Stegostoma tigrinum: one gene and its partner. The protein of the gene in region 1 interacts with the protein of each later gene in a pairwise test. Links are inferred from orthologs where the notes say so. Each region holds a gene or a part of one and is shown in the gene's direction. Other genes may lie near its edges. The genes, in order: garem and grap2a.

What was found.
Region 2: the proteins of garem (region 1) and grap2a interact in binary tests that used the Homo sapiens proteins (3 or more experiments, as listed by UniProt). The link is inferred for Stegostoma tigrinum from reciprocal best matches to the Homo sapiens genes GAREM1 and GRAP2.

Annotation. Positions count from the first base shown.
Region 1 is NC_081358.1:74,803,930-74,807,851, forward strand, and holds the start of garem (GRB2-associated and regulator of MAPK protein 1), read left to right. Parts: upstream 1-882; 5' UTR 883-1,177; coding exon 1,178-1,286; intron 1,287-3,922.
Region 2 is NC_081391.1:24,717,497-24,721,418, reverse strand, and holds the start of grap2a (GRB2-related adapter protein 2a), read left to right. Parts: upstream 1-1,551; 5' UTR 1,552-1,713; intron 1,714-1,774; exon of another isoform or gene 1,775-1,896; 5' UTR 1,897-1,940; coding exon 1,941-2,018; intron 2,019-3,922. UniProt on the Homo sapiens protein: Interacts with SLP-76 to regulate NF-AT activation. Binds to tyrosine-phosphorylated shc.

The DNA of each region.
Region 1 (3,922 bases):
TTTGTTTCATTTGCATTTCTTTATTGTTCTTATTTGATCATTTTGATTTAGCAAGAATGTATATGTTGCTATATAAAATATAGATATGCTAAAATTTCCCACACAATAATTTGAGAAATGGCCGTTCATTTTCAAATTGACCCAACATTTCAATAAATGGAAAAATAATTATATATAGATAAATAGAGTGATCTACAGCTAACAAGAAATAGCCACATTTCCAAAAGTTGCAGTGTTGAGTGTAATGACCAGTAGCGAGGTGAGCTCTCACTTAATTCTGTGCAGAATTGAACCATCATTAGTTAAACAGTGGAACTATTTATTTCTTTTCAAATTGCACCTTAAGTCTGGGTCAATCAGAACAAGTCTGATTGTTTGCCGTACAAATAAAAGCTGACTCACTGACTCCACCCTTGATGTGGAGAGACGACTTAAATCCTGCTGGAATGAAATTAGAACATTTGAAAAAGAATCACTAACATCCGCAATTATGGAAATTAATTTAGCCATCCACTTAACAGCACATCTGGGGCTATTCAGAAAGCACATACGGCAAGAATAAACAGCAAATTAAAACTATTACTTATAACCTAGATTTTGATTAGACGCAACAACTATTAAAATCGACGTAAAGGAATTTGGGAAAAACAGACCAGAAAACCAAGACAAGAAGAAATTGATAAATAATGACCTCTCTACCAAATTACAAACGTAGAAATCCTCGCATTCAACATAACATTATCAATTAAAAATCTTTTAGCTGAGAAGGAATGGGGTGGGGTTGAACCGGGCGGAATGGGGAGGTGGTATTGGGTGACGGGCTGTAGTTTGGAGCGTTGCGGTAGGAAGGGGACTTGCAGACGAAGGGGGCGGTTTGTGTGGTGAGGGGCTGGTTCGGGGCTGGTGGAGAGCCTCGGGGGAGGGGCCCCGCTTGGGAGCGGAGCCGGGATGGGCCGCTGTCGCTGCTGTGTCCTGTCGTTTGGTGCGAGTGGCAGGTCGGCCGCTTCCCGGAGTGAAGCGTGTGACTCCTGGTAATGGCGCTGCGGGAGCCCGGCGGCAAGCCCAGCTCGACAGCAGTGCAAGCGGCCGCAGCCCAACCCCCGGGAAAACCTGCGGCTGAGCGCCACCCGCCTCCGCCCCCGCCCCCGGCCGGGATCGAGCACCGGGGCCGGGCGCCATGGAGACACTGAGCGGCACCAAGGAGATTGAGTGGAGCGGCGTGTCGAGGCCGCTGGACCTGCTGGTCAGCACCTACCGGTTACCGCAGCTCGTCAGGCTGGAGAGCGGTGAGGAAGCTCAGCGTCCGGGCCGGGGTCTGGGTAAAGGGGAAGGCTGAGTCCCCAGCCGAGGTCAGGGGCCGGTTGGATCAGTCCCTGAGGCCACGGTCTCGAAACGTCAAGCACAGTCATTAAAACTTATATCAAATATCTGCAAAAAGATCGGGAATGGGATTTGTGTAGATCTTCTCAGCGCTCGTTGCGCAGTTTTCAAATGGCCAGTATTGAGAATAATAAATAGAAGCAGCAATTTCAAAGTCTATTTACGTGAAAGTTGGATCGATATCTAAACTTTTATATTTGTTCGAATTTGTGTCTGGAAACATCGTACTGTAGTTGTAAAGGTTGATACACGATAGGGAGGATTTGAGCTGATTTAGTTTAGAAGGCAGCGTATTTACGTGTTTCGTTTTAAAATTCTGTGTAGAGACATAATTTATCTTTTAGTAGGCTTTGTGGTCAGCTGTGTGTTCCTGGAAGTCATGAGAAAGTTTTGTAGAATGTTGTCAAACTACGGTCATATATACAAATACTTTAAAAGTTGTAAATTTTGTAGCCGCAGTTGGTCTGCCGAATGGCCTGAGCAAGATATAACCCGCAGGATATTTGGTAACTGAACCAAATACTAGTTTTCTAATAAATCAGTGTACTGCAGTCCAAAGGTGAAAGACAGTGTGCCGGAAGTAGACGTTGTTTCCGTATTCTGTAGATTTTTTTTTGCTCTCTGCCGTATTGTTTGTGGATGATATACAATATTATAACACGTCCCACCTAACTCTGCAGTTCTAAAGTGAATTTGGTTATAAAGGAATCCTCTTGAATAAACAGTGTGATAGTTGATAGGGCTTTATCCCTTGAGTCAATCCAAGTTCAGGAAATTTGAAGATTGGAGTAGTAAGGCGTTTCTCTATGTCTCTTAATTGAGAGTAAAATCAGTGTATTATGTAGGAAACAATTATCTTGTCAAGTGCTGTTACTGTGCTAGAATCAACGAACATCAAAATTATATTAGCCATTAACATGTTTTAGTGTTAAATTTATTATTTATTTTTATTTATTCCATCTTTGACTCTGAGAGTGAATGATTTTCTGTTCCACTTGAGCCAAAAGTCTAAAATTCTAAAGAAGGGTTAAAAATACTCAAAACTAAAACTCAATCCTAACTTGTGACTAAAATCTGAGAAACAATGACAGTGATGTAAATACATTTTGATAGTTTTGCATTTGATATTCTTAGCAAGTAGAAACAATAGAGTATTGTGGATGATATAGATGTGAAATAGAGTTCTGGAGAAATTTAAGTTGAACAGCATCTGTGGAGAGAGTTGAACAGACAATATTATTTCTGACATTATAGTTATCTTAAATATGCGATACTGTATTAATGTGTTAAAGTTCCTAGAATCGCATAATAGCAATGGAAGTTCACTTATTCGGTTTGTATTAGTTAGTGGCCTAAGTAAGGTATGCAGATAATAAATCTCACAGGCTTGGAGTTATACGTGACTGTGTAAGTGGAATGGATTAGTTTAGAATGGCATCGTGTTCTGAAGGACAAAGTGGGCTGAATGCCTGCTCTTGTGTTTTATTGGATTTGAAATTCTTCTCAGATGCTGCCAGGTCTGCTGAGTTTCTCCAGCACTTTGTTTGTTAACTAGATATCTCAATTCAGCCTTAAATATGAAACACAATCCCCAACTCCTTGTCATATTTTTAGAATACTTTTCATTGCAAAAAGGATTATGGATAATTTACCCCAGAAGTGAACTAGTTGCTTTTGATGACTCTTGTTTCAGCAAGATGAGCTGGAAAAGCGTATAAGTATTCTTGTAAACCAAAGGTTATTAAAAAAAATCGAGAAATGTAATTCAAGTAGCTCAACTTGCTGAAAGCTTTTCTTGGTGCAAAAACAATGAGGGCATTTGTACTAGAATTTCTATGCAGCCTTTTTAAGGCCTAATGGATTTTTAAAAACATTTTTTGACAAATGTATTTTCAAAAAGTGTAGCAACCAGCTCACTATCTGCAAAAAGATTGATCTCTGATTTGAAGCCAAAAATTAATAAGCCGGGCAGCATAAAACTAGAATAATTAATGATTTTAGGTATACGTATGTTTTGTAATCAATTTAAACTTATTTTGAATAGTTTATATAGGGGGATGTTTTTATATTTTGGCAGTCCATTCAGAATGTTTTTAGAACCGAATCAGTGATTTCTGTGAATCTTGTGGGTGTTTCTCTAAATGTTATAGTTTGCATCCGAGTCCAGTTTTTGATCTGGAAAAGTATTGTCTTGGTTGTTTCTGACACCAGCTCTGTAGTTTTATATAGACTAATACAAAGTATTGTTGATGAACTGACTTGATTTTGTGGGACATTCATCTTTTCCAATTCTATAAAAATGAATAGATAAATGTGTAACTGTACAGGAGTAATAGTTACATGAGATTTAGAATTATTGTTGGAGTGATGAGCTCAAGATCTGGGGATTGCAGATTTGGAATAATGATCAAGACTGCAGTATTGTCATTATACAGATGTCAATATTGTGTAGTATTATTAAATATAGTTTGATGTTTGACGGAGTCTTGAGTATTGATACGATAAAGTATAGAGGAAAGTGTATTTTCAAAAGAAAAATAGT
Region 2 (3,922 bases), on another chromosome or scaffold:
TCTGGAGTCACAAGTAGGCCAGACCGGGTAAGGGTGGCAGTTTCCTTCCCTAAAGGACATTACTGACCCAGAAAGATATGGAGCATTTAATTGAAAGCTTTCAGTCCCAGTTCTGCTGCAAACACTCCCCTCCAAAGTGTGATATTTGTCTGAGTGAACCGATTAGTTTGCAATTGAAATGAATTTTCTTCGGTGCAATTTTTGCCCGCAGCCCTCCTTTACATGTGAAACTCACATCAATGCTCAGCGCCACAGGAAGCAGCTCAGCTGCGCTCAGGACTTTGAATGCACCAAAAAAACCTGCCATCGAAAAAGAAGCCGATTTCCGAGCAGCAGATTCTGACAGTGGGGCTGGAATTCCACATGTTGACAAAGGGGAGAGTCCCCGTTTTGACCCAGTGCAGGCCAGTCCTGTGTGAGTCCTGCTTTGAAACATTTTAGTGTGAGAGTGTCGGCAGGGAGAGAAGCTGTTCGAGTCCCCCCCCCTCCGGCCCACACACACAACATCCCCCAGCCCCACACACACAACAGCCCCCCAGTCCCACACACACACAACAGCCCCCCAGTCCCACACACACAACAGCCCCCCAGTCCCACACACACACAACAGCCCCCCAGTCCCACACACACAACAGCCCCCCAGTCCCACACACACACAACAGCCCCCCAGTCCCACACACACAACACCCCCCCAGTTCCACACACACACAACACCCCCCCAGCCCCACACACAGCACCCCCCCGAGTCCCACACACACACAACACCCGCCCCAGCCCCACACACACAACACCCCCCAGTCCCACACACACACAACACCCCCCAGTCCCACACACACACAACACCCGCCCCAGCCCCACAACACCCCCCAGTCCCACACACACACAACACCCGCCCCAGCCCCACAACACCCCCCAGTCCCACACGCACACAACACCCCCCCGTCCCACACGCACACAACACCCCCCCGTCCCACACGCACACAACACCCCCCCGTCCCACACACACACAACACCCCCCAGTCCCACACGCACACAACACCCCCCAGTCCCACACGCACACAACACCCCCCCGTCCCACACACACACAACACCCCCCAGTCCCACACGCACACAACACCCCCCCGTCCCACACGCACACAACACCCCCCCGTCCCACACACACACAACACCCCCCCGTCCCACACGCACACAACACCCCCCAGTCCCACACGCACACAACACCCCCCCGTCCCACACGCACACAACACCCCCCAGTCCCACACGCACACAACACCCCCCCGTCCCACACGCACACAACACCCCCCAGTCCCACACGCACACAACACCCCCCCGTCCCACACGCACACAACACCCCCCAGTCCCACACACACACAACACCCCCCCGTCCCACACACACACAACACCCCCCAGTCCCACACGCACACAACACCCCCCAGTCCCACACACACACAACACCCCCCAGTCCCACACACACACAACACCCCGCCCCCCCCCACCCCGCCTTGCAGAATTCTAGGTTGTGGTTTTCCCGGAGCGCAAGAAGAAATTGGCTTCGATTTTATTTGAACGACAGTCTGACGAACAGCAGACGAGAGGGGTGTCGCGCTGCGCTAGAAACATCTCTCTCTACCTGCCAATTTATTAAGGCAGCTTTTACAACAACGAAAATTCGGGACCTTCCACCAACCAGAGTTTGAACGTCGTTGAGAAAAGGTAACTCATGCTTCTGCAACTCCCCCCTCCCCCTCCCACCCTGTCTCCTCCCCCAGCTCTATCACTTCCCTCCCAACCCACCGCCCCGCTCCAACCATCATCTCCTGCAGTGTACACACAGACACACACTACTCCCAGAACAGCTCAACCAAAGGAGATTCCTTGCTGTTTTCTCACTTGAAGGTTTTGCAGTCCATCTCTGACCAGTGGGACTCCAGTCAGGGGGGATGGAAGCTGTGGCCAAGTACGAGTTCAACGGAGCTGGAGAGGATGAGCTGAGCTTCAAGAAAGACGACATCCTTAAGGTAACTCAGAGATCGTAAGACCTACAGATGCTGGCGTTAGAGATAGCACAGCGTGGGGGAGCCGGAGGGACACAGCAGGCCAGGCAGCAGTCGTGTTCCTCCAGCTTCCTCGCCGTGTTCCTCCAGCTCCCTCACCGTGTTCCTCCAGCTTCCTCACCGTGTTCCTCCAGCTTCCTCACTGTGTTCCTCCAGCTTCCTCACCGTGTTCCTCCAGCTTCCACACCGTGTTCCTCCAGCTCCCTCACCGTGTTCCTCCAGCTTCCTCACTGTGTTCCTCCAGCTCCCTCACCGTGTTCCTCCAGCTACCTCACCGTGTTCCTCCAGCTTCCACACCGTGTTCCTCCAGCTTCCTCACTGTGTTCCTCCAGCTTCCTCACCGTGTTCCTCCAGCTCCCACACCGTGTTCTTCAGGTTCATCACTGTGTTCCTCCAGCTTCCTCACCGTGTTCCTCCAGCTTCCTCACCGTGTTCCTCCAGCTTCCTCACTGTGTTCCTCCAGCTTCCACACCGTGTTCCTCAAGCTTCCTCACTGTGTTCCTCCAGCTTCCACACCGTGTTCCTCCAGCTCCCTCACTGTGTTCCTCCAGCTTCCTCACCGTGTTCCTCCAGCTTCCTCACTGTGTTCCTCCAGCTCCCTCACCGTGTTCCTCCAGCTCCCTCACCGTGTTCCTCCAGCTTCCTCACCGTGTTCCTCCAGCTCCCTCACCATGTTCCTCCAGCTCCCTCACCGTGTTCCTCCAGCTTCCTCACAGTGTTCCTCCAGCTCCCTCACTGTGTTCCTCCAGCTTCCTCACCGTGTTCCTCCAGCTTCCTCACCGTGTTCCTCCAGCTTCCTCACTGTGTTCCTCCAGCTTCCTCACCGTGTTCCTCCAGCTCCCTCACTGTGTTCCTCCAGCTCCCTCACTGTGTTCCTCCAGCTTCCTCGCCATGTTCCTCCAGCTTCCTCACCGTGTTCCTCCAGCTTCCTCACTGTGTTCCTCCAGCTTCCTCACCGTGTTCCTCCAGCTCCCTCACTGTGTTATCCTTCAGGTGGAGATGAATTTTTGACTTTGTCAGTGGAGCTGACTTCTCTGACATCCTGCCTGCGGTCGCAGAGTTGGCCAAAACGAAAATAAGCAAACTTCTCAAACCAGGCCATGCACTCACAGTGAAAAACCTGAGGAGAACCTAGGATTGGTGTTTTCTGTCACCTGGATAATCCCAGTCATTCCCTACCCGCCACCTATTCTTACGTTCGTGGAAAGGCATCAAAATGAAAACGTGAGCAGGTTTTTGAGTTGGGGATCTTTAATCTGAAAGACCCGTCGCCTATTTGTGTATGTTGTCTCCCCATCCTCTGCCATCACCCCCTGCTGTTTCCATTAACTGGGGTACGATTTGAGGATCTGGGAGCGGCCCCCACCCCAGGGTTAGAGAGGACACTGTGGAGGTGGAGTGTTGGGAGGTTTTGATGGTAAAAATTTCTCATTTCTCACTGTTGTGCTTGTACACCCCATAAACGTGGGTCTTTTTGAGAGAGATGGTTGGGGGGGGGTGGGGTAGGTGGTGGTGGAGGTGATGGACTGGGTGGGAAGGTTGTTTGATGCACAACATGATTCAAAATCTCTGGTGCCACTCAGGAAGAAGTGGATACTTCAGAAAGGCTGCTACGGTGCATGAGATAGAACACTGGGGCTCCAAAGATGCAGAGGTTAGGGTGGATTGGCCGGGGTAAGTTTCCCCGTGGCTGTGCAGCTTAGGTGGGTCAGCCACAGTACTTGCACGGTTATGGGGGTAGGGTGGGGGAGTAGGTCTGGGTGGGATGTTATTTGGAGGGTTGTTACAGGCTTTGACGGGCCAAACGGCCTCTTTCCACCATTGAGGGTTTCTGTAATTCAAGTGAACACGAGAAACATGATTTTTCC